Linked DNA regions of Canis lupus familiaris. The protein of the gene in region 1 purifies or fractionates together with the protein of each later gene. This does not show direct contact. Links are inferred from orthologs where the notes say so. Each region holds a gene or a part of one and is shown on either strand. Other genes may lie near its edges. The genes, in order: CSNK2A2, GPATCH2L, EIF3J, ZC3H4, NRP1, YAF2 and PIP4K2C.

Region 1 (3,965 bases):
TGTCATTCCCATTTGAATCACTATGAGAGGGGACTCTAGTGAGTTTCCCAGGACTGGTTTTAAACCCTTTGAGTTAGACCAATAGATTAATGTATGATTCCTAAGTCAAAGTGACTGGTAAAGTGTTACTTACTAACTGCAAGTAGCAAGAGTGTCCAGAGAAGTGTCTCCTATCTTCCCTCCTTAACGCAGCCCCTTTTCCGCCGGCTGCCAGCATAGTGTGCACAGAGCACTAGGGGTACCATCTGAGGCATGGTTATTGTCCTCTGTCGCAGCAGTAAGCTGCCCCTTGGGAGATTGTATTCACGTGAAGCTGTCACAAATAATATGCTTGCGTTGGGAGGTTGGTAGACAGTGTGCTTACTTTTCTCTGTGCTTTCTTATCTAATAGGCTCTGGATTACTGCCACAGCAAGGGAATCATGCACAGGGATGTGAAACCTCACAATGTCATGATAGATCACCAACAGAAAAAGGTACCGTTGCAGCCAGGCAGCAACAAGGCTTTTCTTAAAAGGTCTAGGGCAGACCACAACTCTAGGTATTGACCTAGGAGGGACTGCAGACCAGTACTGTTTTCTTTGGCAGACTTGTGTTATTGTTATTTCTCCGGTCTCCAGTGTTGCTTTCTGCTCTGCATGAGCATGGTACACAAGGAAAGTAGACCCGTGAGCCTAACTGTAGTCCCTTGTTTATTTTGGTCATGGTTTTCCAGAGGGCCTCGCAAAGAAACTCCAGCAGATGGTTTGTACTTCTTTTAATGACCCTTAGACCAGTCTGCCTAGCCTTTACACTTGGGTCCCTCCTGTTTTTCATATCCAATTCTGGTTGTCTCTGATTGGTGAGTAAGTGATTCCACTACTGTGTGATTAATGAAAAGCTGGAGCAATGCTTCAATCCTGGGGTGGGGCCTGGGTCTCCAACCCTTTGTGTTGTGGCTTGAGCTTATGATGGGAGCTGTTAATAATGGGGGAATGTGTTATATGCAAGTAAAACAGAGGCAGAGTAAAAAGCTTAAGCTTGATTGATGGGAAGAGAATGATAAGCCAGGATAATTTAAATTAAAAAAAAAAAACAACAACAAATAAGATTCTGAAAGCTCTACTGTAGAGGTGACCTCTTCCACAGTTGCTGAAAGGGTAATTTTTGCCAGTGCACTGGCTAACATTTGTTATGTAGCGCACATATTGTCAGCTAACGTGATGTGGCCTTTTTCTAAGGCACAGGTGTCTAGAAACACTCCTTTACGGGTTTGATTTCTGTTGTGTTTGTAGCTGCGGCTCATAGACTGGGGTCTGGCAGAGTTCTACCACCCTGCTCAGGAGTACAATGTCCGTGTAGCATCGAGGTACTTCAAGGGACCGGAGCTCCTTGTGGACTATCAGGTACAACTCACGCCTCCTTTGTGTGTTTCCTTAGGGCTTCTCCTCGTGTGCTGTTTATTAAGTCAGTTTGGATACATTCAAAACCCCAGCCTGAAGCAGTCATTTCAGATTTTTCTCAGTGACTTTTTTTTTTTTCTTTGAATTCTAAAATATGTGCAAAGGTCAACTGAAGACTAGAAATCCAGATCAAAGAAATACATTTGCAACACCTTTCACTAACAGGCTGACCTTGTTTCCCCAGATGTACGATTACAGCTTGGACATGTGGAGTTTGGGCTGTATGTTAGCAAGCATGATCTTTCGAAAGGAGCCCTTCTTTCACGGACAGGACAACTATGACCAGGTGAGCAAACACTAACTGGCTCTTCCCCATGTGGGGGCACATGCCAAAGAAATGGGAGTCTGTTGACAGGGATGCTATCCTTGAGTCACTCAGTGTCTGCACTTAAGTTCTCCTTCAGGGTAAAGAGCTTCATGAGATTTTGTCTGTGGTTACTAGGTCCCCAAACATAGAGCCAGATAAAGCTATCTTACTAAGCTCCACGTATGCCCCACAGTGAGTCTGTGAAGAAGTCAGACACACCTTGTCTAACAACTAGCTTCTAGATTAGATTGTGATGCCCCCGTAATTGTCAGCTTCTGGAAGATTATTGTCTTAAGTTATTACCATTTTATTTTTGTTTTGTTTTTAATTTTTTTTTTTTTTATTTATTTATGATGGTCACACAGAGAGAGAGAGAGAGGCAGAGACATAGGCAGAGGGAGAAGCAGGCTCCATGCACTGGGAGCCTGATGTGGGATTCGATCCCCGGTCTCCAGGATCGCGCCCTGGGCCAAAGGCAGGCGCCAAACCGCTGCGCCACCCAGGGATCCCAGTTATTACCATTTTAAAGGGAGTTTGGAAATTTGCTTTCTGTGAACATCATTGGCCTTTGGTCTACCTCCTGTCAGCCCCGGGCTCCAATCTGCCTCTGGTCCCTGGAGATTCAGTGATGGAGAAGTCCTCTCATTTCTTGGGATAGCATCCTCACAGGCTTGCGGTGAGCTCTGTGCTCAGTAATTTGGTCAGTTTGTTTTGTGTTTCAGCTTGTTCGCATTGCCAAGGTTCTGGGTACAGATGAGCTGTATGGGTATCTGAAGAAGTATCACATAGACCTAGATCCGCACTTCAACGATATCCTGGGACAGTAAGTAAGAGAGAGGGAGAGAGAACGAGGGTTTTAACTAAACCCATTTCAGAAGAGGGAATATTCGCCGAAATCACTTGCTAATCATAGCAAAGTTGAAAATACCCTTCTTTTTTCTCATGTATGCTTTTTAAAACTTGTTTTGAGGTTTGGGCATTGTTTACATGTGTCTTCTGATCGTTGTACTTCTCCAAGAGATAACCTGTCAGTCCATAGAAAATAGGAGACAAAATCCTGTTACAGTGAAATGCTTTGCAGGACAGTGTATGCTTATTTTAATGGAAAATCTTAGAAAGCTGTGATTCTTCTTTGAGGAAGAGATTTATAGTTTTTTCTTGTTCTAGTTAACGGGTTTTCTACAAGGTGGCAAATTTTATTTTTTTTTAAGATCTTATTTATTTATTCATGATAGACATAGAGAGAGAGAGAGAGGCAGAGACACAGGCAGAGGGAGAAAAGCAGGCAGGCTCCATGCCAGGAGCCTGACGTGGGACTCGATCCCGGGACTCCAGGATCGCGCCCTGGGCCAAAGGCAGGCACCAAACCGCTGAGCCACCCAGGGATCCCCCCAACGTGGCAAATTTTAAAGCATATTTGCAGGTACAGTGTACTAGTGTTGAAAAGTAAATGCGTTGACAGTTCTCAGTGTTTTGTGGAGCCTCTGTTTCCAAGGCTAGCTCTCTAAATATTTTTGCTGCACAACAAAAATAACTCTGTCACCTCTGTGCCTCACCAGAATTGACTAAAAGCCTGATCCATAAGAAATGATCTAGGAAGGTGCCACAAATTCTAAATCAGATGTAGAAGCTTTAGTTCATTTTATCAGAGAGCATGTTTTTTGTTTCAAGATGCCTCAGATATTCCCGTGGAGGGTGGGGCAGACACCTGTGAGAATGAGATTTAATAAGTTTATAATCCTCCTGGGGTTCTAAGATTCTATTGGCTTTAACCATGGTAATGTCTGGATTCTTGTTGAATTGAATCTCAGTACCAGTGCTTCCCTTTCCTCCTCAGACATTCACGGAAACGCTGGGAAAACTTTATCCACAGTGAGAACAGACACCTCGTCAGCCCTGAGGCCCTAGATCTTCTGGACAAACTTCTGCGATACGACCATCAACAGAGACTGACCGCCAAAGAGGCCATGGAGCATCCCTACTTCTGTGAGTCTCCAGGGACCATTTGCAGGGGCCTGATTTATTAAAGGAATAAGTCTCCTGTTCTTTATCTTTGAGGCCAGTCAGGAGAATTCTAGGTGTTTGGATTGAATCATCCTTGGAATTTGGCCTCATTCATTCTGGACTATTGAGACAGCTCTTGCAGTTCCTTTTCTTGATCTGCAGAGGTGTTTGCTTGTCCACTGCCATAGCTCCCCTTGAGTCTGGTCTGCAGAC
Region 2 (3,965 bases), on another chromosome or scaffold:
TAAAAAACATGTAGTGTATACATAAATATACATACACACAATGGAATACTATTCAGTCATTAAAAAAAGGAAGGAAATCTTGCCATTTGTGACAACATGGATGAACCCTGAGGGTTTAGGTTAAATGAATAAATCAGAGAGAGAAGACAGATACTGTATGATATCATTTATATGTGGGATCTAAAAACAAATGAAAGAATAAAACAAAACAAAACACATAGGAAATGGATTGGTAGTTATCAGAGTGGAAGGGGGTTGAGGGGTGGTTGAAAGGGCTCCATTTCAAGCTGATGGATGGTACTTAGATTTATGGTGATGATCACTTTGAGGTGGATAAAAATACTGAAAATTACAATGCTGTACACCTGAAACTTATGTAATGTTATATGCCAAATTCACCTCAATATAAATATATAAGTAGTGACATCCTAATTGGAGGCTACTTTTAAAATGCAATCACCTGTACATATAAACAGCAAAGAAATAAAAACTAGTCTAGAAAGGAAAAAAAGAATCTCTCTCATGAGTTTAGTGTGTTAGCCATGTTAACTGTTGTGAAGTACAAATCTGTAAGATTTTCTCAATCAGCTCTAAAGTCAGATTTCTACGTTCGTTCATAAAACTTCCCTCTGCTTCCTACTCTAAGGAATGGGCTAGGATAATGCATAAATATATAAGCACTTACTCCTTCTGCCGAGGGTCACTAATGATGTGGCCTATCCTCTCAGTACTTATGCTGGTCTCCTGCAATGGCAAGAAGACAAGCATGTCATCTAACCACAGAAACAAACAAAGTATGATCTGTCATCAAGTTCACACTTTCCCAAAACTGCCAGCAACCTCAAAGGCACATGTCAAATGTCAATCTTAAAACCCAACAGCAAGTTTATTTCTTTTTATGGGAATCTATTTTAAAAGGTTATTCTAGACTTTTCTCCAGTGTTCCAAAAAAAGTCATTACAAACCTTGTTTACTATATTATATAGCATTTTAATACAGTGAGTTATTAAAGTATATAGTAGAAAAAACAACTTTTAAAAATCCAACAACAGCTGATTTTTAACAGGCTGCACACCAAACTCCCTCAGATCATATGATTACAGCCCCAAAAACCATCATGATGGGAAATTTACCCAGTCCTCACTGGTAACACCTAAAATCTGCTAACTAAATGTACACATATTAAAGGAATTTTGTAACTTAAAAAAAACTGTTACCCTATCTTGTCTGTTAAGCATCATCTCTTAGAGTAAAACAGATGTTTGTACAAATTGGTCCTTAAATTTAGGGTTCTTAAGACTATAATATGAAATCTTACCCGTAACACCACAAGCAAATCAGAAACTAATCACCTCCAAAAAAATTAAAAACTGGCACAAGGCACTCACCCTTCATTTAACTTGAGTACATTTACAATGAATGCCTATGACTGTACCTGGGGAAGTGCGCTGATAGTACATGAATAAGAGTTATACACATATGAGTTAAGTGATAAGATGAGAGAGGATAAGTCATGGGCGTGAATGTCAAGCCTGTTACATTTGTTACTGGGCAAACATTATGATCGGTATTCATTTATGTGTGCGGATTAGCCTAAAATATTAGGGTTACACATTTTAGCAGAACTGACTCTAGAAAAATTGATGCGAGGTCAGATTCTGGGCGGGAGTGGAGCTAAATGAAAAGGCTTCACATACTGTATTCTTCACATTCTTCATCCCTTACACACATACCTCCTGGTCACAGACATAGCCATAGTAGTGGGGCCAAGGGAAAGGATGGGTGAAAAATGAGCTATTTGTTACTGCAGAAAATTATTAACTTAAAGTGCCGTAATGTTTAAATTTACAGTTTATTACTGTGTAAATTACAAGCAGTACTTTGCGTAATTAGCAGCTCGCTGGCAGAGAGCTGTGAATGAAACTCATTATTTATGATTACAATTTAGAAAAAGAGCAGAGAGGTGGGGGAGGGGGAAGTAGGGGGGCAGAACATTGACCTCTGCTAGAAATGACAAATATCCCTTTAAGGTGATGAAGATGAATTAAACAAGTAAATATTATCCTATTCATTTGAAATTCTTAGAGGCACATCCAATAGGCCCTAGAGTTTCCTTTCAGGCAAGCTAAAGGAAGCCTTCAAGATGAACTGATTTACTTCTCTGGAAATGGAAGGCTCTTATAGGAGCTGAAACAAAGTAAGGTAGATAGTAGGTAAAACATTATCTTTCAAGCCTAACTAATACACAGAAAAAATAAAACCATCTCTCTGCTTCCTACTCCCAACCTCCTGCCTCCCTCCACCTCATGTACTCCTACCCTATTAGCTGTCCTATTAACTAAGAATAAGCTCCCAGAACAGCAAAAGGAGCATTTTCTTGTCTGAGAAATCAGTGAGCCAAAAGAAGAAGATATCGTTCTTCCAATAATCAAATGTTTTTCTAATTAAGAGATTTGAAATTGAATTTAAAGATTAAAAATATCTCCGTTCACCTGGAAATAAACAGTTCTCTATTTCAACTACAGAACAGTAGCTCCCTGAGGGTAGCCAGGCTGTGGCTGTGATCACTTGTACCTAGCCTGGCACAGAGCCTGACACTTGGTAGGCATTCTAAATATTTATGCAGTGAACGAATTAATGTTCTGAGATGCCTCTCACTCCCTTGCCTTTTGCTCACCACCATTTTCTCTAACTAGGTATGAGCCCCAGGCTCAACTTACCTTCAATCTCAAAGCTAGAGTAAAAGTTAATTAAAATAATTTTTAGGAGTACCTGGGTGGGTCAGTCAGTTAAATGTCTGCCTTCAGCTCAGGTCATGATCCCAGGGTACTAAGACTGAGCCCTGCGTGGGGCTCCCTGATCAGTGGGGAGCCTGCTTATCCCTCTCCTTCTACCCCTCCCCCCACTCATGCTCTCTCTCACTCTCTCTCAAATAAATAATAATCTTTTTCTAAAAATAATTTTTAAAATTTAAATTAGAAAAGATAAAAGTACAACTGAGTTCAATTCTCTCTTCTGCTACTTCCATTTACATAGCTTCTTTGAACCCAAGTTTTCCTCATCTGCTAAGTGGAAACATCAACTCTTCTACAAGGTTGTTGGAAGGATTAAATGAACTGGGTGTAAAGCAGAGCCGCTGGGCAAAGGCAGAACTGCGTAAGTGGTAGAAATTCCTCCCTCATGGCCAAGGAGAAGCTGTGAAATCTGAGGTTTTCTTTCCAGTTTTGTTTTTTTTTTTAACGAATTCTAGAATCAAAGTTAGGACAGAAGAAGCATTCATGAATTCAGGAGGAGTTATAAAGAAGCCAAGAGTATTTTAACTTCTACAATAATGTTATAAGATTAATCAAAAGAGTAGAAGAGACAAGATCAGGCCTGTAGATTTATAGACAAACTGTCATAACAGTGTTTGCTTTGTCAAAACTTCTGTATGAGTTAAGCTTCATCTTTTATGTGTGTACCATTTATATCCTATATAAGGTTCATTCTTATGAACTTGAAAAATATTTCAGTTGGCTTCATTTACTCCAGGGGAGTTCTGCAGCACCTTTGATTATCAAGGTACACAAATCCCAAAGGGAAAATACTGTCTTCCCAGTGAGCCCAGTAGACAGTGAGAGCAGTTACCTTCCCAGCAAGCCTTCTTCGGCCCTTTCTGAGGCATCGAGCTGCAGCTCCAGGCAGACGATTCAAGCGGGCATGGTACCCTAAAAAAAAAGAAAGTCCTCAGAAACAGAATGCAGAAGACTCCTTAGTGATGATATGCCTCTAGTATACCAAAGGCCTTCCTCCCCAGGATCTTACTAGACTGACCCTTAAGCTAGTATCACTAGTCTATTTGCCAAGGATTTATTATTATCATGCCTTGCAGTATGATCATAGGTGTGTCTTTACCTCTGACCTAGGCATCCTCACCTACAAAGGTGGGATAATCACTTGCTCAGTCCTATCTTACATAGCTGATC
Region 3 (4,487 bases), on another chromosome or scaffold:
TCCTTACAAAAGGATTAAGTACTAAATTATCAGAATTCAGAAATTTGGTATTGACAAAATTCAACTTCTAGATTGGTAAACTCAGAGCAAAAACTTGCTTGACAACCAAGGTCATTCCATTCAAAACACAAAATTCACAGAAAAATAGCCACTGTGGGGAGAACTTATTCTGGAGCTCAGGAAATCACAAAATGCGGTACAAAATAAACCCCAGATACTAGAGGTAACCGGTATATTTTCCTTTAGCCAGAAAAATTAAGACTACATCTCAAGTAAGAGTATTAACACTGGGATGCCTGGGTGGCTCAACGGTTAAGCATCTGCCTTCAGCTCAGGGCATGATCCCGGAGTCCCGGGATCAAGTCCCACATTGGGCTCCCTGCATGGAACCTGCTTCTCCCTCTACCTATGTCTCTGCCTCTCTGTGTGTGTGTGTGTCTCTCTCATGAATAATAAAATCTTTAAAAAAAAAAAAAAAGAGAGAGAGAGAGTATTAACATTAACTGAGTGCCTCAGAAGTGCTAAGCAACTCTGCTTAATGCTAGACATTTAATCATTTAAGGTGCAAAATAGGGGTGCCTGGGTGGCTCAGTTGGTGTTGGACTCGATTTTGGCTCAGATCATAATCTCAGGGTTGTGAGATCAAGCCCTGTGCCTCAGACTCCACAATGGGTGTGGAACCTGCTTAAGATTCTCTCTGTCCGGGATGCCTGGGTGGCTCAGCGGTTGAGTGCCTGCCTTCAGCTCAGGGCGTGATCCTGGAGTCCTGGGATCGAGTCCCACATTGGGCTCCCTGCATGGAGCCTGTTTTTTCTCTGCCTGTGTCTCTGCCTCTCTCTGTCTCTGTGTCTCTCATGAATAAATAAATAAAATATTAAAAAAAAAAAAAGATTCTCCCTCTCCGTACCCTAAGTAAATAAAATGTAAAACAACCCCCCGAAGTTATCTCCTATAATGAAAACTTAGACTGGGAAACTAAAAGGAAAGATTAAAAAACTTGTTTGTGACCACAAATAGAGAAAATGTCAAGGCAATATAATGCACACCCATGTCTGTCTGATTCCAAACCTAAGAATCAAACTACTCCATGAATACCATAACCTGGGAATCTTGAAGAAATTCAAAAGAAACCAACATTTCAACTCAGAAATAAAATGGACAAGTTGAGTTTTTCTCCAAGATCAACTTCAATGTTTATGTAAAAGAAATAAGATATTTGAATAAAAGAAAAGAATCTGCACTGAAAGAGTGACTGGAGAAGATGACCTTTATGGTCTCTTAGCACCTGTAAATCTCAAACTTAGTTACTTCATTTTCTGGTACTTCTTTCCTGATTTATCCCATCTTTTCTTCTCATTTGCTAAATCATTCCCAATTTTCAGAACAGATGTCCTAACTGCTGCATCCAGTAAGCATACAAAAAGTCAAAGGACAAATCTGAACTGAAGGCTCAAAACAGAAAGTCCAAGACAATTCAGGGAAGTAACTAATACCTTGCAATGAGACTGATACACAATCCATTCCCATATATATACAACATGTAAATACAGCATTTAAGTATCTTCACAAGAGTACTACTCATTTATTAATCTCAATGTATGCAAAGCTCACATTCTCCCTGAACCTCAAGCTGTTCCATAAACTGGAACATAAATCTATCTCATTATAATGACTCTGAGGAGAAAAAGGTAAAATCCAAACAAAAGTAGTATTAAGCTCATAGTGATTGTCTAGCTTAAATTTTTTCAACCCGAGCAGGACTGAACAGGGTTCCCAACATGTATTGAAGGGTAGAAATTAGGAAAGTGAAAAACATACACTAATTGAATCAAAACCAAAAGAAACTTTTTTCTCAATTCATACAAAACTTTATCTGCACCAATATATAAAGATTTTGAGAGTTCTGTTAATAAGAATCTTAACATTCTGGGGTTGAGAGGTGTTAGCTACTTAAAAACAAATACACTAGTCATACTGTCATCTGAAGCCATTTGATAAGTCCCCAGGAGTTTTCAAAAACAAAATGTACATCTGGTTTAGATCAACAAAGCACAGGGGAAAAACACCGGCCCCTCGTCTATTCCAACCAGTATTTCCTTAGGAATCATTTGTATGTAGATAAATAACTCTATCAACTGTCCATTTCCAGGTCGCTGGGTGGACTACCTAGGTTTCTGGCCAGTAACTCCTGGTTATCTCAGTACTCGGTTCATCTCTTTACCACAGGGCGGGGGAGGGAAGCCTAAAGTTATTTCACTTTACTGCTTCTATTGGTCTTGTGTTTAAAAAAAAAAAAAGACTGAAATTAAACCACAGTATTTCATTCATCTAACTGCTCAAACACACTCTACAAATGGGCCTTTGGAAACATAAATGAGTTACTGCCCCGGGAAGATCTGAGCTCAAAAAGGCAGGTGGGTTGCAAGACTTTCCATATGGGATACACCGTGGGGCTCAACCCCCGACTTCCCGGATCCTTCCGGCGAGCGGCTCCAGACCGCGAAGTTTGCACGTGGGCCGGGCCCTGCTGCTGCTGTCACCTCCCGTCGCCAGTTGGCGGATGGGCTCCGGGCCGGGGCGCAGACCCTTAAGAGGGGCCGGGGCCGGGGCCGGGGCCGCCACCGCCCTCTGCGAGGAAGTCCAAAAGGCCACGCTGCTAGACTTCGGCCCATATGGCTGGCGAGCCGAGGAGAGAAGGGCAGCGGGAAGCCCGACGCTGGCGTCTGGACCCGCAGCCCCGCAGGCCCGGGCGGCGCCCCTGGGCCCAGAGTCCACCCGCCCGCCTGTCGACGGGCATCCCCGCCCGCGACAGCGCCAGTCCGCTCCCGCGCCGCCGGGAGCCCCGGCCCGCACCCACCTTGACGTCCTCGTCCTCGTCCTCGCCTTCCCAGCGGTCCCCGCCGGCGGTGCCGCCGCCCCCCACCTTCCGCACCGGGTCTTCCACGGAGAACGTGTCCGCGTCTACGGAAGAGAGCGAGCCGCGTTAGCGCCTGCTTCGGCTTGAGGCCAGCGCCGGCCCAGGCCCTGCCCCCGCAACTTCTCCTCACCCCAGGAATCAGAGTCCCCCGCCGCCGCCGCCGCCGCCGCCGCCATCTCGAACCGGGCGTGAGCGTGTGTGAGGGCAGAGCTAGCGAGGAGTTAGCGCGGCGGAGGTGAGTCACTGGCTTTGCTCTCGTTGGCCGGCGCGGGGCAGGCTGGGACCGTGGCTGACTGTGCGCCGGGGCCCAGGCCCCGCCCTCTCTGGAGGAGGTGGCGGGGCGACGCGCGCGCGGGCGGAGAGGGGCGTGGAAGGCGGCGGCGGGCGCTGGCGGCGGCGGGAGGGTGAGCCCGAGGGGGAGAGGGTGGTGTCGGAGGCAGTGGCGCGGGAGGAGAGGAAGCGGCCCGGAGACGGTGCCCCCGGCCGGGCCCCGGGGAGGAAACAGTGCGAGGAATTAGGAGGGCGGCCCCTTGCCTGGCGCTTGGCCCCCGCCGGCCCTCGCGGGTCCTCCCCTGCCAACTCCAGCCCCTCCGCGTGTTCCTTTCGGTCGCGGGCGGTGAACGCCACGCCCGCCCGTGGGGGCGGTGGGCCGGCGGCCGCGACCCGACCCTCGCAGCGGGCGCCGCACCGCGCCCCGGCGGAGAGCACGTCTCTGGAAGCCAGCGCGGCCCGGCGCCGGGGAGGAGCGAGTGCACGGGGCCGCGCTCCGGGCCGCCTTCCCGGCCTGGGTGCTCGAATTCAGCTCCGGGCACGTTTGCTTCTAGGTAGTCACGAAGGGATCGAAGAGGGCCCCAGAACTCGAGGATTGTCCCTGCTTGGGAGCCCCTTGAAGCCAGCACACGATTCTTTGGCAGAGTAATTTCGGAACCTGGCCTGCGCCAGGCCTAACCTCTAGCCTTGTCCTCAACGAGCGCACGATCGAGTAGCAAAGACAGACATGTAAACAAAATTTCGACACAGTGTGATGACTGCAACGACAACAACAACAAAAGCATTATGAGGTTAAATGTAAAAAGGTAACTTGAACGGCTGCCCGGCACGGGTAGCGGGAGGATGCTTGAAAGGCTTCCCGGGGGATCCCTGGGTGGCGCAGCGGTTTGGCGCCTGCCTTTGGCCCAGGTGCGCGATCCTGGAGACCCGGGATCGAATCCCACGTCGGGCTCCCGGTGCACGGAGCCTGCTTCTCCCTCTGCCTATGTCTCTGCCTCTCTCTTTCTCTCTGTGACTATCATAAAAAAAAAAAAAAAAAAAAAAAAAGAAAGGCTTCCCGGGGCAACTACCACGGAATCCGGAATTTGAAAGACCGAGTGAAATGTGTTTCAGTACCTTTCCGGTGGAAGGAATGCTCCGGTCCTCGACCCGACTGGCACAGTCGGAGATAAGCTGAAAAGGGAGACTAATCAAAATAAAGGGTTTCAGCTGGGCTGCTCTCTGCCCTTTGGGCCCCTGGGCTCCACTGCAGGGTATTAAGAGGGGAACAGTTCCAGATATTTTGGCTTTCCTTTTGTTA
Region 4 (3,965 bases), on another chromosome or scaffold:
CTTAGTCTGGTCATGTTCCGGGGACTCCATAGCCATGTGTGGCTAGTAGTCCCTGTATTGGACATTTGAGTGCACCTACAGTGGCCAGGTGCCCCTGTGGCAGTATAGCCAGTGAGCATCCAGAATGCTGAGGCCTGAGGACCACTAGTTTTTTTTTTTTTTTTTTTTTTTTTTTAATTTATTTATGATAGTCACACAGAGAGAGAGAGGCAGAGACACAGGCAGAGACACAGGCAGAGGGAGAAGCGGGCTCCATGCACCGGGAGCCCGACGTGGGACTCGATCCCGGGTCTCCAGGATCGCGCCCTGGGCCAAAGGCAGGCACCAAACCGCTGCGCCATCCAGGGATCCCCTGAGGACCACTAGCGAGGGCATGTAGGGGCGATGGGACAAGCTACCTGGAGCTGCTAAGAAGGCTTGAGGAGGAGGAAGAGGACATGACTGACATCAGGGACAGAAAATGGGCTCACGTCTCTCTTGCTGATGAGATCTCCCACTCGGGGCACTTACCGTCTGAATTACCCTGCAGGCAGCCGAGGCCGTGGCAGAGGCTACCGGGGTCGAGGCAGTCGTGGAGGGTCTCGAGGCCGAGGCATGGGCAGAGGCAGCCGCGGAAGGGGCAGAGGCTCCGTGGGAGACCACCCCGAGGATGAAGAAGACTTCTATGAGGAAGAAATGGAAGTAAGCTCTTCTCCAGCCCCGGAGGAGTGGCGGCAGGGAACATGGGAGGTTGATGGGCACTTTTTGGGAGCTGCCTATACAGACCACAGTGGAAGGGAGGGTGTTGGACAGCAGGGCTGTGTCTCAACATTCATTTCTTATTTTGAAATAGAGGAAACCTTCATGCAGTTCAAAATTGAAAAAGTGCCAAAGCTGTGAAAACATCTCCCTCCCCTTCTACCCCCAGCAACTTCATTCCCATCTCCAAAGACAAGTTTCCTGAGTGTCTCCTAGAAAAAGTTTTAGGCCTAGGGGCACCTGGGTGGCTCAGTTGGTTAAGCATCTGCCTTCAACTCAAGTCATGGTCTTGAGATCCTGGGACCAAGCCCTATTTTGGTCTCCCTGCTCAGCGGGGGAGCCTATTTATCCCTCTCTTCTCTCTCAAATAAATAAAATCCTAAAAAAGAAGTTTTAGGTCTTTACAGTCAGGTGCTTATTTATTCATGCCCCCCTGCACACACACACAGCTTCCACATTGATTGCTCTGTCCCCGCCCAAGACCTTTCTATGCCAGTATGCAGTGAGTCTGCTCTTTGTTACAACCACACAGCTGTCCATTGTGTAGGAGGCTCCCTGTTGGATTTGCCCCCGGAATTGGGAGTTGTAGGAGTGAAGAGCTTGAGGGAGAGGATTAGAACCACCCCCCACCTCCCCCTCCCCCTCCCAGTTTTGGCTGTGGTCTGTGAAGAGAGGGCACAGGCAGGTCACCCTGAGTTGTTCACTGGCCCTTCTGAGTCTCATGTTGACCTGCATAAACAAAAAGACAGGGGCAGAAAGTACAGTTAGGGACAGTGTTCATCGTTCCCCACGTGACACTCGCCTTTTCTCCTCTTTTCTGGAATCCCAGTATGGAGAAAGTGAGGAACCAATGGGAGATGAGGATTATGACGAATACTCCAAGGAGCTGAACCAGTACCGCCGGTCCAAGGATGGCCGAGGACGAGGTGGGCAGAGGGCCCTGGAGGTGACGGGTCGGTGGGGCTCCTTTGGGCAGCTGCTGGGTTTGGATCCTGGGGAGAAACAGCAGGTGAATGCCATTTCTCTGCAGGGTTAAGTCGAGGCCGTGGTCGGGGTTCCCGAGGTCGAGGGAAAGGGATGGGCCGGGGTCGTGGTCGAGGTGGCAGCCGAGGAGGGATGAACAAGGGCGGAATGAACGATGATGAAGACTTCTATGACGAGGACATGGGCGTGAGTTGACTCTTCATTTGGATTTGATAGGTTTGGCCAAGGCCTCCTTCCTGGATTTTTTTTTCTCAAATGAGTTGGCCTCTAGCCAATGCTGTCCAGCTTTCATTAGCTGTTCTCTGTGGGGCCGTTGAGCACTAAACATCTCTGGGGGTGGGGGGCTGGGCTGCTGGTGAGACCCTCTGTTTTTGAAACCACATCTCTATAGCACCTGAGTCTATGAGGTGGGGAAGGTTCCAGGTGACTCATCCAGGTAGCCTGGAGAGTTTGACAGAAGACGCGCATATTGCCTTTAGGAGGAGAATGTGTTCTGTATGGTTATGTGGTACTCTTCAGTTGCCAGCAACTCCATGTGCCAGAGCTTTTCCTGTGTGAGCGCCAGCACTCCATACCATGGGGCTAAGACCCCACGTGGCCTTGGTGCTGGTGGTAACGTGCTGGCCACTACTCTTGCTACGTGAAGATTCTTCTGTCGAGGGAATGTTCATCCTCAGTGGCCACCTTCTGTTACAGTCCCTCAGAACCTGTCTGCCAGTCTCCATCACCCCCTCCCCAACCCCTCCTTCTCCTTGCCCTTTATGCTCACACACTGTGTTCCTAATAGGATGGTGGTGGGAGCTACCGGAGGAGTGACCATGACAAGCCCCACCAGCAGTCTGACAAGAAAGGCAAAGTCATCTGCAAATACTTCGTGGAGGGGCGGTGTACGTGGGTAAGGGGCCAGTTAAAGTACCTGGGCGTGGGAGCAGGGCAGCAACCTCCCAGAGGATGCTCAGGCTTCTGGGAACGTTCTACAGGCTATGCTAATTGGGGGCCATGGCCTGGTAAGGGTGGGATTGACTGACTACCAAGAAATGCTTGGGAAGACTCTGTTCTCTTGTCTTCTCAGAGAGACTGAGGAGCCAGAGTGTGATAACACATTTGTGGCTTGTTTTTTGGTGTTTTGTTTTTCTTGGTTTGGGGGCCAGAATTTTCAGCCAGTCCAAATGGCCTCAAACGTATTAAGATTGATACCGATATAAAGATGTAATATGTCCTGGTTGAGTTATTGATCTTTAATGATGTCGGAGAGGGAATTATTAAGATTTCCAGATAGAGGAGGAGGTGGAGTGAATCAGGCCAGCCTTGAATTGCACAGCAGCATTCAGTACCAGAAGATAAGCTAATGACCATAGAGTTCTGAGGGCATAACCCTGTATGAGTTCAGCCAGCCACCTTCTTATTCAAATACGATGGCAGTGGACAGATACTGGTGCACATGTGCTCAGGGAATATTGTACCCCAGTATAGGCTTTAGAGAAAAATAAATATTTCAGACCAATATATGTGTGTGTGTGTGTGTGTGTGTGTAAAATATTCCTTATACAATCTCAACTTATGTTCTTTTCAGAAGCTTATAATAAATCCGTAGAAAGATAAGTAGCCATTCATGAGAGTAAGGGGAGATAGCTATCCCGAACGGTTTCTCTATTTTGTTCACTCGGGTGTGTGTTCTGAGTGTGTCTGACTGTGGATGATGTTAAAATTGAGCTCCAATAGTGTAAATGTTCAGACGTCGTCCCTCTGAAGGAGGTTGGTACCCTGGTCACTGGTACTCTGGGGAGACTCCTTCCACTTCAGGAATGTCCACCATCTTTGAGCATGTGGCTTTTGTCCTCATGGTTCCATAGTGGCCGCTGAGCCTCTGGGTATCCTCCCGTCTACGGGCTAAGAGGAAAGATGGGTGAAGGGGTGTTTGTTTTGAGTCAGCATTGTCCTCCCTGGGGACTTTGGCCTACATTTCATTGACCAGGACTTCCAGAGAGGCTGGGGAATGTACTTTTTCAGCTGGGGGCACATTCTTCCCAAACAAAACGGAGGTTAGGTTAGGAAGGAAGAAGCATGGGGCTGGATACTGGCCTCCATGCAGCCAGTCTTGAAAAACAGCATGCAGGTAAGAAGAGGGAGAGGGAGAGAGTGATAAAGGAGCATTGAGGGTGAGGGGCAGTGGAGTGGAGCCTGGTGGAATGGGGACAGGGAAAGGGAGGCAGGGCCCAAGAGAAGAGGGCACAGGTCTTGTC
Region 5 (4,407 bases), about 54 Mb from region 1:
TTTATAAATCTACAGAATTTTATTACAGGAAAACCAGGTCAAATGGAAATGAAAGATGAAGTGCACATCAAAAATGCATAAAGCTACATGCATTACAGAAATCATTTCCCATAAATTAAAAAGAAGACAATATAAATCATATTGTTTTTCTCAATTGCTGGATGTTTCTGACCATGTTTCCTAGACTGGGGGTACCCTTATGCTTGGTTTCCTTTGCCTGGGCTTTTAAAAGCTTAAGGTTTTGCCAAGAAGAAATGTTGCAACTGGAGTTTGGAATCTCAACTAACGATCATACTGGACTCTGTTACGTGATTCCACTGAGGCTCTTCCATTATTTTAAATGTGCAGAAAACTTGGAAAGTGACCCCATCTCATTAAGTCTCCTCCAGCTCTATACAAACATCATGGCAGTGTCTGGCATCCGTTAGAGGAGTGAAATAAAACAGCACTGCTTCCAGTCACTCCACAGAGTCACTTCAGAAGACATTTAGGTGGACTTGGTACCACACCAGAGCTCTTTAATCTGTGACTTCTGAGAAAGTGACAGTGTAATAAGATAATGTGGACTGCTAGACTCCCTGGCTCTGTTAAATCTCTCTAACAGTTGATTAAGAAAGAGCAATTTCTAATGACTCTGGACCATTAGACCTAAATAAGGTTAATGAATTAATTTAGCAGACACTGGTACTGCAAGGAGGTGGACATGGCTTTAAGAGGTCTGCTGTGTTACAGAGGCATTTACTGGCTCTGGTCACTGCAAGCAGAGCAACATGGTTTTAACCAGTCAAGCTCACAGACTGAGGCTCAGGTTCTCAGCATTTTCCAGATTTCTGCTAAGAAAATTTAAAAATGTATTTCATATATATTCACGCACGTTTGTATACATTCATATACACACACATATGTATGTGAAGTTCACTACCTACAGTCTGGAAGCTATTTGCATTAGGTTTCAAATCTATCTTGTGTACATCTCTACTACGGATTTAATCTCTGCAGTTGTAGAGGGCAGAGGCTGGGTTACTATAACTTCTAAAGCCTAACCACTTGACCTCTTTCAATTGGAGGAGAATGTTATTTCATCCCTTGCCAGATCGTACCGAGATGCCACCAACTCAGGTTCATTAATAAATTGAAGTCCACATTCACAGTTGTGTGTGTGTGTGTGTGTGTGTGTGTGCGTGTGTGTGAATGTGTATGTGCACGCGCGCGCTGCCTCCTAAGCGTATCTGTTGGAACACTGCTTGGTAGCTGTTAGGGGAAATCTATTGCTTCAGTCACCAAACCTCCAAAAAGCATATTATAGAGATTAACTTCCATCATAAAGGCATGATTTAAATTCCTCTTGGTATGAACCCCTCCACTTGTGGTCTCTTATTAAAACAATATACCACAGTAAGTAGTGGGTGTTCTTTTCTCCTAATTACTTTGATTGAAATCTAAGCCAGACAAAAGTAAATATTTGATAATTAGTTAATAATTGCTGAAGACTTACTGTTAAGATAATTTCCTACCCTTGCCTTCACCCACTTTAAAGTGTAAGTTAAACATGCCTACAAGCAGATCACGCTTTAAAATACATTATTTAGGTTAAGGGATACTGTTTATAACCTGGTAGCCTCGAGTGGTTTTAAAAGCTAAGTGGAAGCTGCTAGGTTAGGGATTTTCAGAAATCCCGGTGTCTTACACTGTATATATCAGATTCCTTTATTGACAGTGTGTAACTTTCATTCATACTTCAGGCAGATTAGGGGCGATTTGCAAAGGCGAGGGAGGGAGTTCCCACAATCAAAAACCCGCCGTCGGCCGCAGCACCCAGCAGAGGAAGCGGTGTCGAAGAGCTGCAAAAGAACCAGGAAGTTCTCCCGGTAAAGCGTTCATTAACTTTCCGCAGCCATCAAATTTTTGAGAGGGAGTCTCATCTAATTGCCTTTGGGAGGAAACATTATTGAGATAATTGGTGGTGCTGATCTGGGAAGGCAGGCAGCTCTGCCTTGGAACCGAGGCAGGGGAAGCCCCGTCACCAGGCCACCAAGTCCAGGAGCGAGGCGGCGGCCTCGGCGTCCGCCTGCCCCGCCGACGGGTCTGGTCTCTCTGTTCCTCTCCCCGGACGACGGTTTCCCGGGCCCGGACGGCGGCGGCCGGCGGGCAGCGCGGGGGCCGGAGCCCGCAGCCCCGCCGGGAGCCCGGGAGCCCGGGAGCCCGGGAGCCCGGGAGCCCGGGAGCCCGGGAGCCCGGGCGCGGCGCCCGCACGCGCGCCTCCGCCCGTCACTTACCGTTGCGGAAAGCGCCGGCCAGGGCGACGGCCACGGCCACGGCCAGCGCGGCGCTCAGCAGCGGCGGCCCCCGCTCCATGCTCCCTCCGCCGGGCCCGGGCACGCACCCGGGCAGAGGACGCGCGGGCAAGTAGCGCAGGGGCCGATGCACACGCTCCGCCGGCCGCAGCTCCGCCTCGAGCCGCGAAATCCTCGGTCCGGCTCGGAGAGAAGGGAGCAGCGAGGCAGTGCCTGGATCCGAGAGAAACGCTTCTCTTTTTGTGTCTCAAGTCGCCTGCATCCTGTCATTTAGCTCCGGTTTCCTCTCTCTTTTCCCACACTTGTTCCTCTTCCAGGAGCCACTGCCCGGGCCATGTCTCAAAAAAAAAGGGGGGGGGGCCCGACGGGGGAGGAGAAGGGAGGTGGGGAAACACACCAAAGCCAATTTCCAGAAAGGAAAAAAAAAAAAAAAAAAAAAGCTTGTTTCTGGACCGGTTGGAGCCGAGGAGCTGGCGCCCAGGGGAGGTCCGGGGTGTCTGCGCGAAGGAGAGGAGCGAGCAACGGAAAGATGAGCGGGAGACAGGACTTTCAGCAACTGCACCCCCGCCTGCGCCTCCGCCCCCCCCCCCGCCTCCCCCGCCCCTCCTGGAGCCCTTCCCTCGCTTCCGCCCTCCCCTCTGCCTCACGGGCTCGCCAATAACTGCCTGACAGGAGACTGGGAGGAACAAGTTTCCCTCCGTGTGCTTTTCCCGTCCTTCTGTCCGTCTCTCCCGGAGGCCCTGAAGGATCCCCGCGGGGAGGGGGCGTTGGGAGCCTGCGCCCGGGGCGCGTGTGTGTGCGCGTGTGTGTGCGCGCGTGTGTGTGTGTGTGCGCGGGGCGGGGGGGGGGGGCGTCGAGGTCCGCGCCAGCCGCCGGGTCGGGCGAGCCTCCCGCCGCCCGCCTGCTCGCTCCGGGCCCCGCGGGGAGAGCCGCAGCTCGCCGGGGGTGTCTCTCCGGGATCCCGCCCCGGAGGCGGCCGCTGCTTCTCGCGACTCCCAGCCCTGCCGGCCGCGGCGAGGAGCGGGGTCGGCCCGGGCCAGAGAGCGGCAGGCGCCCCCGACGCTCGGGGCAGGGCCGGGGAGACCCGGGGGAGCCGGGCTGGAGCGGGAGGCGCCGCGCGGGGCCGGCCAAGGGCCGACGCTGTCGCTGTCGCTGTCGCTGTCGCTGTCGCTGCCGCGTCGAGCCCACCGGGCCACTCGCTCCGGCGCCGGCGCCGCTGGGCTGCGGCCGCGCTCGGCCCCCCGGCTCCGCTGCTGGGCGCGCGGCCGGCCGCCAGTCGTGCTCGGGTGCCCGGCGCCCTGCGGGGGCCCCATTGTTAACCCAGATGAGGCGCCCGCCCCTCTGGGACGGAGGAGCGCCCGAGGGCCGTGGGGTGCGCCCTCCCGCTGGGGGGCGGCCGTCGCCCCGCCCCGCCCAGCCTCGTTCTCCACCGAGCCCAGGTGCTGGGGGAGGGGGGCTTGCGATCAGGGGTCCGGGCGCCCCTCTGCGGTGCTCCTCGGGGCGGGGGCACAGTGCGAGGCAGAGGCCCTCGGCAGGGCTCACTCGGCGCGCGCCCCGGGCCAGGCGGCCGTCACGCCGGGCACCCGGCGCCTACCCCCACCCCCCGCCCGCGCGGCCGCACCGTGGGCCGCGGGACCCCAGCCCCCCCGCCCAGGGCTTTCCGGGAACCGCTGCGGGAGGCCTCCGTGGATAGGGATAGCAGACACGCATCCGGGGACAAACCGGTTTCGGCCACAGGTCTGGCCCTTGAGGCGGCACGTCCCGTAGCGGCCCCCCTCGAGGAGTTTGTGGGGAAGGTGAAAAGGTCACTGCACCTGGGAACCGGCGTGTGTGCACACAGCCTGAAACACAGCCTTCTTCCCACCTGGCGCAAAGAGCTGGCAAGACACTTAGGACTGTCGGCGAGGAGGCTCTGGCCCAGGGTTTTGGCGGCAGAACCAGGGGCTGGACGCGGGGCGGCCCGAGGCGCGTGGGCCGGGCTGGGCGGGAGGACGCGCCGCCGGGGAGGTGCGGAGGTGGCCCCGCGCTCGCCGCGCGCTCTCCCGGGTCCAGCTTTTCGGCGCCCGCCGGCCCGCGGGGAGCCCCCGCCTCGGAGCTGGAGGCCCGGGCCCCG
Region 6 (4,528 bases), on another chromosome or scaffold:
CTCTGAGGTTTAACTTAGGGCCAAAATCAAAAGAGAAGAGACAATTCAGAGAGAGGAAGGAAGAAGCTGAGAGGGTCGTAGTGTAGAACACTTACTTTTAGGAACAGAGTGTCCCTTAGACTTCTGGTGAGTTGCCCAGAGCCTCTTCAGTTTCAATCCAAATGACAATGCTTCTCTGAGTCCTCCTCAAGTAATGTTTCCACCACTAAAAAAACTGGATCTACAAGAGCTCAGATGTACTGGTAAAAAAATATCAGGGGCCCCCATATGGGCCTGAAGCCTCTTTTACACTAGGCCCACTTCTCTGTCCGGGGCCAACTCCCCTGTGCACTATATTCCTTCTTCTTCCAGGTGCCAGGTATTCAGCCTGTTTCTTCTCTTCTGAGCTGCCACCACCTACTCTATTTTCTCAGGGTTCCTCTAACCCCAAGACTGGCTGTGGAGTAGGACAACAGCTTCCCCCCTTCCTTGCTGTCCCTGCAAATAAACATATAGGCTCTTCTAGTTTCAGTATTTTTTCTAATGGCTACAAGAAAATAGAGAGGGAACAACAAAAAGCAACAACATCGTACCAGAGATTAAGATTATAAAATAATTGTCTCCACTTTAAAAGTCCCTGCCTGGAAAAACCACATTTTCTGAAAATTGCTTGAGTGTTTTAAGAAGCACAACGTACTAACATAGATATACAAATATATTCTAAACCAAATCCAACCTTATATAAAAAAATAAAGATATTCTACTTTTCAAAATACTTAAAGCACGGGTCCAAAAATTGTTGCCATGTTCACTTTAGCAAATAGGTGCTTTTTTTTTTTTTTAATGGTCTATTCTATTTCTTGAATTTAGACATTTTAAAGTTTGCTTCTTAAAGGATATCATGAAAAATGCTCTACATATTTTATCCAATGTAAATGAGATTTAATATGTAAAAAGCATATTAGGATCCATGAAAAGACAAGTATGTGAAATGCAGCTAGCTTCTAACTAAGCAAATCTTAAAATTTATTTCCAACCATTCTGCCTCTATCTTTAAAAAAAAAAGTCATAAATTGTTGTAAATGGTGTTTTAAAACCTGGTTATCTCGTTTTTAGGATTCTAACTTCTACCGAATATATAAATCTAATGTCAATACCAAATAGGCCTTTTTTAAAGCAACAGTCTATCACATCAGTATACCTATACCCTTGAGTTTCTAACAGACTATTTTTTAATATCAAGGCACATGATATCTAAATATTAGCTATAAATCCCATGCTTACAATAAATTCCAAGGCTACTTTCCTATAAAGTGGAAGGAACTCTGTAACGAAGCGTTGGCAGATCAAGAACGTCAGACTTTGAATTTCCTGTATGATTTTCTTTATCCACTTAATCCACTAAGTGGTTTGTTTTTTTAAAGACTGAGCTATTATACTGTAGGCCTACAATAAAATAAAAACTGAAAATAGGCAGAGATCATTTCATCTCATTTGTATAGCCTAATAGATTGCCATTTCATCAAACTAAAAATACTCAAGATACTTTCAGTAAAAAAACAAAAAAAATGTGTCCCTGTGACCGGGCTCACCTCCAACTATTTATAAAATCTTAGAGAATAAGGTTAAAAATACTAACCGAAACGTTGATCTAACCGTTCCAGACATCTATATATAAAATACAGGAAGTTCAACCTATTGTGTATTCTAGAATCAAATACTTTTTCTTTCTTTGCTTTTGGAAGAACGAAATTAAATTCTACCTTTTGCTTTCTCCAGAGTGTCTCATGGTTGGTTTTTTTTTTTTTCCCCCTTTGATTCCTAGAATCAAATACTTTTTCTTTCTTTTCTTTTTTTTTGGAAGAACGAAATTAAATTCTACCTTTTGCTTTCTCCAGAGTGTCTCATGGTTGGTTTTTTTTTTTTTCCCCCTTTGATTCCTAGAATCAAATACTTTTTCTTTTTTTTTTTTTTTTTTTTTTTTTGAAGAACGAAATTAAATTCTACCTTTTGCTTTCTCCAGTGTTTCATGGTTGGTTTTTTTTTTCCCCCTTTGATTCCTAGAATCAAATACTTTTTCTTTCTTTTCTTTCTTTTTTTTTTTTTTTTGGAAGAACGAAATTAAATTCTACCTTTTGCTTTCTCCAGAGTGTTTCATGGTATTTGTTTTTTTTTTTTCTCTCTCTCTCTTTGATTCCTACACACTAACACAACAATGCAGCCAACATTATTATACCCGGAATGGGAGGCCGGCGGGGGGGGGGGGGGCATCACACCCAGCGATACGAATTACATCGCAGGAGCTAATGCCTCGCCTTAAATAATTTATTCTCTCTTGGCAGCAAAGTAACGTTCCGGCCTCTTCAATTACCGCTCGCCGCAAACCGCGGCTCGGGGCGCGATCAACGTGACCCAGTTCCTGTCGCGGCCGCCACCTCGCTCCCGCCGGGGCTGCGGTGTCACGGGAGGGGCGGCCTCCGCAGGGGCGGGGGCGGCGACGGCGCGCCGGGCAGGCCCGCGACTCACCGGGTGGAGGTGCCCTTCCGCACATCGCACATCATGCACTTGAAGGCCTCGGCGCTGTTCCGGAAGGTGCAGACGCTACAGTCCCAGTAGCCCTCATCCGAGGACGGCTTCGGCTGCCGCTTCGGCCTGCAGGACACAACCCGGACACGACGCGGCGCGGGGTCACCGGCAGGCCGCGCCCGGCGCTCGCGCCCCGCCCCGCCCCCGCCCGCCCCAGGCCCGCGACCCCGCGGCCCCCCGCGGCCCCCCGCGGCCCCCGCGCCCCGCGCCTCCCCGAGCCCGAGGGAAGCCAGCGAGGGGGAGGGCGCGGCCGCAGTCGCCGCCGCTCTGACACCCGCGGCCGCCGCCATCGCGGCTCCATTGTGGGGCGGCCGGCGCCGGCCCCTCACACGCGGCAGCGGCAGCGGCAGCGGCAGCGGCGCCGCCCCCGGTGTGGCCCCGCAGCCCGGGCGGCGAGCGAGCCGGGGAAGCCCGGCGCTCGGGCCCCGCCGCCTGCGCACCGCCCGGGCCCCGTTACCTGGTGGGGCTCTTCTTGTCTCCCATGGCTTGGCTACCGACGCACGCCGAGCTCGCCGCCGCCGCCGCCGCTCTGTTTGTCAATAAGGAGGATAATAAGCCGGGGCGGAAGCGGGCGGGGGAGGAGGAGGAGGAGGAGGAGGAGGAGGAGGAGGAGGGAGGGAGGAGGGGGCGGGGAAGGCCGCAGCGCCGAGCTCGGGAGCCGCCGCCGCCGCCGCCGCCGCCGCCGCCGCCGGAGCCCACGCAGCCTCCAGCTGTCGGGGAAACTCCTGCCTGGGCGCACGTGACCCGCGCCGGCCAATCAGCGGCGGCGCCGGAGACTTCAAACGCGGCCAGCGCGGCCCAGCGCCCGCGGCCGGTCGGCGGGGGCGGCCGCCGCCGCAGCCTCCCCGCCGGGGCCGCCGCGTGACCCCTCACGGCCCGAGCTGGCGGCGGCTCCCGGAGGAGGAGGAAGAGGAGGAGGTGGAGCCGCCGCCGCTGCTGCTGCTGCTGTGCTGCCGCCGCCGCCCCGCCAGCCCGCGGGACGACGGCCGCCCCGCTCGGGAGGACAGCCCGGCCGCCTCCTCAGGTAGGGCCGCGCGCCCGGCCCCGCCCGGGGGCTCACCTGGGGGAAGGCGGGAACCAGCCCGAGCGCGGGCCTTAAGGGGGGGGAGGGCGGGGACTTGAGATCCCAATTTCTCTGCACGCGAATCTCTGCCCAGAAGGTATCGTCGCCCTTAAATTAGAGGAAACGAAACCGAGGCCCGAGAGAGGTGAGGTGACCTCCCCCGTATTATTATATAATGAGAAGATGACAAAGGCAGGACTTTAACCTTGGTTTTAATTCCAAATGCATCCTTTTGCCCCCCCCCCCACCACTATTTACAATGGCTTTAAAAAAAAAACTCATAAACCCTTTTTCTTTCTCTCTCCCTCTCTCTTTTTTTTTTTTTTTTTTTTTTTAAATAACGAGTTTACATATTCCCTGGAGGCTGCTGACTGAGAAAGGAACACGTCTCTCCCGAGCCTCGTTGCCTCCACATACCGGATGCGTCGACCTGGCCCCGCGAAGCTCCAGCTCTACTTCCTCAATCTATTAGGTAATCTGCAACCAGATTGAAAATAAAATGCAGACGACGTTAGGCCACCATCCGATCTAGCAGTTCGCTAAAGGCTCTCAGACTCCAGAGCCTGGCATTCAAGAATTTCCACTTTCTCCCTACCTCCCTCTCCCTATCCGACTCCCTCCTCCCACCCACCCCCCATCAGAAAAGCTGCCTCCTGGCGAAGACAGCGGATGAAACTCTTGTATTGAGTCCCCAAAACTCTTCCTTCGCCTAGGTGTGTGGCTTCCTTCTGCATATTTCCCTCTTCTCTCCGTTTGTACTGTCTCTACCCATCTCTCTCGGTTCACAGCGAGTCCGAATTCTGTGCAATAGTAACCCTAATAACTGAAAGAATCTGAATGTACTATAAAGGGACTAGTGAAGTCAGGAGTCCCGGGTTTTCAGCCGACTTTCCCGGTTCC
Region 7 (3,965 bases), on another chromosome or scaffold:
GCCCACCAGGAAATGTTAGTCTAGGTAAAATCATTTCGTGGTAAACAGATGTAATCTCTAATCCTGGTTCTGTGACCACTTGTACTTGAAGAGTTTAGGGATGCCTGGGTGGCTCAACGGTTGAGCACCTGCCTTTGGCTCGGGTTGTAATCCTGGGGTCCTGGGATCGAGTCCTGCAGTGGGCTCCCCACGACAAGCCTGCTTCCCCCTCTACCTATGTCTCTGCCCCTCTCTCTCCCTCATGAATAAATGAATAAAATCTTTTTTAAAAAAATAGAGAGAGGGACACCTGGGTGGCTCAGTGGTTGAATGTCTGTATTTGACTCAGGGCCTGATCCTAGAGTCCTGGGATTGAGTCCCGCATCGGGCTTCCTGCATGGAGCCTGCTTCTCCTTGCCTGTGTCTCTGCCTCTCTGTGTGTCTTTCATAAATAAATAAAATCTTAAAAAAAAAAAAAAATAGGGAGTCTAGTGGCTCTTGGGTGACTCAGTTGATTGAGCATCCGACTCTTGATTTTGGCTCAGGTCATGGTCTCTGTCTTGAGATTGAGCTGGGCTCCATGCTCAGCAGGGAGTCTACTTGCCCCTCTCCCTCTGCCCCCTACCTGTGCACGCGTGCATGCTCTCTCACTCTCTCTCTCTCTCTCTCATAAATCTTTAGGGGATCCCTGGGTAGTGCAGCGGTTTGGCGCCTGCCTTTGGCCCAGGGCGTGATCCTGGAGACCCGGGATCGAATCCCACGTTGGGCTCCCGGAGCATGGAGCCTGCTTCTCCCTCTGCCTGTGTTTCTGCCTCTCTCTCTCTGTGTGTGTGACTATCATAAATAAATAAAAATTAAAAAAAATAAATAAAAGCTTTAATATAAAGAGACATTATACAAATGGAATAAATCAGGAGATGGGGATTCAGAAACTTCATGGATACCACAGATGCCTTTAACAAGTCTCCACCACTTTTTTTTTTTAAGATTTTATTTATTTATTTGAGAGAGAGCATTCATGCAGGGGTACGCCTGGGGGTGGGGGTGGGGCAAGGCAGAGGAAGAGGAAGAGAGAAAGAATCCCAGCTGGGCTCCATGCTCTGCAGGGCTCAATCCCACAACCTTGAGATCATGACCTAAGTGGAAACCAAGAATCAGATGCTCAACTGACTGAGCCACCCAGGCGCTCCCCACTCACACTTTTGACCTTGTAATCTCTCTACTTGAAGTTGTCTGCCCTACTCTGGAATGGTGGTGTTTGAATTCCCATCCCTGGGCTGGTTGTGCATTTACTCCTCAGCTTCTCCCCATTCCTTCCTCCCTTCTACCCCAGTACATTGTGAAGTGCCATGGCAACACACTGCTGCCCCAGTTCCTGGGGATGTATCGAGTTAGCGTGGACAATGAAGACAGCTACGTGCTTGTGATGCGCAACATGTTTAGCCACCGTCTTCCTGTGCACAGGAAGTATGACCTCAAGGTAAGGAGAGGCTAGCTGAGGGAGAGGCTCCTGATAGCCTGAGAGTGGGGAAGGGCCTGGGAGGGCACTGAGATGGTTCATTTCAAAGGAAAGAAGACTGTGGGTGTGAATATTCCTCTTAGGAGCTGGATCCTAACTTCTTTTAGCCACTTCTGCTGACTTGGTCTTTGGGTCTCTCCACAGGGCTCCCTAGTGTCCCGAGAAGCCAGCGATAAGGAAAAGGTGATACTAATTTTAGGTGACAGGGTGAGGGATGAGGGAGGGCAGATAAAGGGATCTCCTTAGGATAGAGGTAGGGATCACCAGCTATTTCGTCTTATCTTAAACCACCAAAAAGAAGAGAGGTGTAAACTTGTGCTGATGCTGGGATTAAGTGTTTGGAATGGGCAGCAGGAGCAGCTGCTTTCTCACTGGCATGGGTTAGGCCATGTGGAAGGTGTGGCTATGGATAAAGACAAACTTTGAGAGCGAAATGCTTACTCTCTACCCCCCGCTCTGGGTTCTTGTATTCAGGTGGCTATTTTCTGCTTAAGAAGAATGAAAGGCGGTATGTGAGGTCTTGACTGGAAACCATAAGCAGACGGTAGTGGGATGTGATTTGGGGTACCGCTGCAGTGACTGAGTTTGGAGAAGCCACAAGAGCGGAGAACGGCCTCTGGGCAGCATGGCAGTGTGCAGTTAGAGGAGCTGTGAGATCTCTCTCCCCTCAAGGCCACTGAGTTACAGAGAGCCCTAGGAAGAGAGCATGGTTCTCTGAGACCTTGAGGGAAGGGCTGTATTCCCAAGATTCCCCTTACCTATTTTCAGGTTAAAGAATTGCCCACCCTTAAGGATATGGATTTTCTCAACAAGAACCAGAAGGTTTATATTGGTGAAGAGGAGAAGAAAGTATTTCTAGAGAAGCTAAAGAGAGATGTGGAGGTGATGATCGGGGTGCTTTGGGAAATGGCTGTTTCCTGTTGCTCCCCCCCGGGGCAGCTGTCTCTCCCGTTCCCTTTATTCTTTGGGTTTTCTGCATGTAGGGGAGTTGGGTATGGGACATAAAAAACCCTTAGAGGTGACCCATGGAGGGGATGGCTAGAATTGACTAAAAGGATGACCTCAGGTACCAGGACATTGATGTACTAAAGGGCAGTGGTATACTCCCAACCCTTGATTTTCATCCTTCCTTTCCCCAGGAGGGCCCCTGAAGCTCAGAGGGGAGGTATAAGGGTGGTGTGGTGCTGGGAGCAGGGAAGGAGATCTGAGGTATCTGATTTGTCAGTGGGGTCTCAGTTCCTAGTGCAGCTGAAGATCATGGACTACAGCCTTCTGCTGGGCATCCACGACATCGTTCGGGGCTCTGACCCAGAGGAGGAGGGACCTGTGCGGGAGGAGGAGTCAGAGGGGGATGGAGACTGTGACCTGACAGGGCCACCTGCTCTGGTGGGCTCCTATGGCACCTCCCCTGAGGGTATTGGCGGCTACATCCATTCTCACCGGCCCCTGGGCCCTGGAGAATTTGAGTCCCTCATTGACGTCTATGCCATCCGGAGTGCTGAGGGTGAGAGAAATCCTGGAAATATTAAGGGTGTTGGTGGTGGGGAGGGTTGGCCTTGGGGGAGTGAGGGGACTGAGACCAGCCAGGGTGGTGGGAGAGAGGCCAGTTAGCTTTTCAAAACAGATCTGACTGGTTCTTGGGAAGAGGGAATTGGGACTATACTTGCTCTTCCTCGCTTTCTTTCCCCAGGGGCCCCCCAGAAGGAGGTGTATTTCATGGGCCTCATTGACATCCTGACACAGTATGATGCCAAGAAGAAAGCAGCTCACGCAGCCAAAACTGTCAAGCACGGGGTGAGGGCTCCCCAAATCCTTTCCTATCTTTTGACTGGGAACAGAGGGAGCCTTTTGTACGGGAGCAATGGGGTGGCAAAAGGACGAAGGGCTGGGAAGGGCTGGGTGCGGAAGTGGTGTGGGGAGGACTGGAGGCTGCGGAGTGGGATGGGGTGGTGGGGTGCCTGACGCTGTGTTCCTACCTCCTCTCGCAGGCTGGGGCAGAGATCTCCACTGTCCATCCTGAGCAGTATGCTAAGCGGTTCCTGGATTTTATTACCAACATTTTTGCCTAAGAGACTACCAGACTCCGTGCTGCTTTATGTTCAAGGTGGCAGGGTTCCGAGAGGCTTGGGGAGCTGTGGATATGTTGACCACTACTACTTCTCTTCCTCTTTTGTTAAATTCCAGCTACAGGCTCCTTCTACCCACACAACTCCATCTTGTTGACTAGGCTTTTCCTGACCCTCAGAAATACACTGTCCTGTCCCCCCCTCCCCACCCGCCCACTTTTCTTCCATTTCTCCCTCCCTTCCAGCAATTCTGCTTGCTTCATTAGAGTGTTACTGTTGACTCACTCCCAAGTGCCTTGATCTTTGTAAATGTCCTGTTGTTTCTAGAACATAGGAGGAGATGGGGGAAGGGGATTACTTGCCATCTTCAGGAACTGACTGGACGGATGGACCTGGCTCAA

Evidence for each region.
Region 2: the proteins of CSNK2A2 (region 1) and GPATCH2L purify together in Homo sapiens (affinity purification with mass spectrometry; 5 studies listed by BioGRID and IntAct, counting the BioPlex papers as one, with this or other methods). This does not show direct contact. The link is inferred for Canis lupus familiaris from reciprocal best matches to the Homo sapiens genes CSNK2A2 and GPATCH2L.
Region 3: the proteins of CSNK2A2 (region 1) and EIF3J purify together in Homo sapiens (affinity purification with mass spectrometry; 5 studies listed by BioGRID and IntAct, counting the BioPlex papers as one, with this or other methods). This does not show direct contact. The link is inferred for Canis lupus familiaris from reciprocal best matches to the Homo sapiens genes CSNK2A2 and EIF3J.
Region 4: the proteins of CSNK2A2 (region 1) and ZC3H4 purify together in Homo sapiens (affinity purification with mass spectrometry; 3 studies listed by BioGRID and IntAct, with this or other methods). This does not show direct contact. The link is inferred for Canis lupus familiaris from reciprocal best matches to the Homo sapiens genes CSNK2A2 and ZC3H4.
Region 5: the proteins of CSNK2A2 (region 1) and NRP1 purify together in Homo sapiens (affinity purification with mass spectrometry; 5 studies listed by BioGRID and IntAct, counting the BioPlex papers as one, with this or other methods). This does not show direct contact. The link is inferred for Canis lupus familiaris from reciprocal best matches to the Homo sapiens genes CSNK2A2 and NRP1.
Region 6: the proteins of CSNK2A2 (region 1) and YAF2 purify together in Homo sapiens (affinity purification with mass spectrometry; 9 studies listed by BioGRID and IntAct, counting the BioPlex papers as one, with this or other methods). This does not show direct contact. The link is inferred for Canis lupus familiaris from reciprocal best matches to the Homo sapiens genes CSNK2A2 and YAF2.
Region 7: the proteins of CSNK2A2 (region 1) and PIP4K2C purify together in Homo sapiens (affinity purification with mass spectrometry; 3 studies listed by BioGRID and IntAct, with this or other methods). This does not show direct contact. The link is inferred for Canis lupus familiaris from reciprocal best matches to the Homo sapiens genes CSNK2A2 and PIP4K2C.

What each region holds. Positions count from the first base shown.
Region 1 is NC_049223.1:57,697,419-57,701,383, forward strand, and holds part of CSNK2A2 (casein kinase II subunit alpha'), read left to right. Parts: intron 1-391; coding exon 392-475; intron 476-1,273; coding exon 1,274-1,384; intron 1,385-1,625; coding exon 1,626-1,727; intron 1,728-2,470; coding exon 2,471-2,571; intron 2,572-3,585; coding exon 3,586-3,734; intron 3,735-3,965.
Region 2 is NC_049229.1:49,439,873-49,443,837, reverse strand, and holds part of GPATCH2L (G patch domain-containing protein 2-like), read right to left. Parts: intron 3,708-3,965; coding exon 3,628-3,707; intron 745-3,627; coding exon 686-744; intron 1-685.
Region 3 is NC_049251.1:11,492,150-11,496,636, reverse strand, and holds the start of EIF3J (eukaryotic translation initiation factor 3 subunit J), read right to left. Parts: upstream 3,210-4,487; 5' UTR 3,094-3,209; coding exon 3,048-3,093; intron 2,962-3,047; coding exon 2,858-2,961; intron 1-2,857. UniProt on the Homo sapiens protein: Component of the eukaryotic translation initiation factor 3 (eIF-3) complex, which is required for several steps in the initiation of protein synthesis.
Region 4 is NC_049222.1:109,582,141-109,586,105, forward strand, and holds part of ZC3H4 (zinc finger CCCH domain-containing protein 4), read left to right. Parts: intron 1-529; coding exon 530-681; intron 682-1,567; coding exon 1,568-1,664; intron 1,665-1,768; coding exon 1,769-1,908; intron 1,909-2,509; coding exon 2,510-2,617; intron 2,618-3,965. UniProt on the Homo sapiens protein: RNA-binding protein that suppresses transcription of long non-coding RNAs (lncRNAs). LncRNAs are defined as transcripts more than 200 nucleotides that are not translated into protein.
Region 5 is NC_049223.1:3,641,258-3,645,664, reverse strand, and holds the start of NRP1 (neuropilin-1), read right to left. Parts: upstream 2,872-4,407; 5' UTR 2,356-2,871; coding exon 2,277-2,355; intron 1-2,276. UniProt on the Homo sapiens protein: Cell-surface receptor involved in the development of the cardiovascular system, in angiogenesis, in the formation of certain neuronal circuits and in organogenesis outside the nervous system. Mediates the chemorepulsant activity of semaphorins.
Region 6 is NC_049248.1:34,870,453-34,874,980, forward strand, and holds the start of YAF2 (YY1-associated factor 2), read right to left. Parts: upstream 3,182-4,528; 5' UTR 3,049-3,181; coding exon 3,023-3,048; intron 2,632-3,022; coding exon 2,506-2,631; intron 1-2,505. UniProt on the Homo sapiens protein: Binds to MYC and inhibits MYC-mediated transactivation. Also binds to MYCN and enhances MYCN-dependent transcriptional activation. Increases calpain 2-mediated proteolysis of YY1 in vitro.
Region 7 is NC_049231.1:2,029,696-2,033,660, forward strand, and holds part of PIP4K2C (phosphatidylinositol 5-phosphate 4-kinase type-2 gamma), read left to right. Parts: intron 1-1,312; coding exon 1,313-1,459; intron 1,460-1,642; coding exon 1,643-1,681; intron 1,682-2,266; coding exon 2,267-2,380; intron 2,381-2,734; coding exon 2,735-3,002; intron 3,003-3,188; coding exon 3,189-3,292; intron 3,293-3,486; coding exon 3,487-3,567; 3' UTR 3,568-3,965. UniProt on the Homo sapiens protein: Phosphatidylinositol 5-phosphate 4-kinase with low enzymatic activity. May be a GTP sensor, has higher GTP-dependent kinase activity than ATP-dependent kinase activity. PIP4Ks negatively regulate insulin signaling through a catalytic-independent mechanism.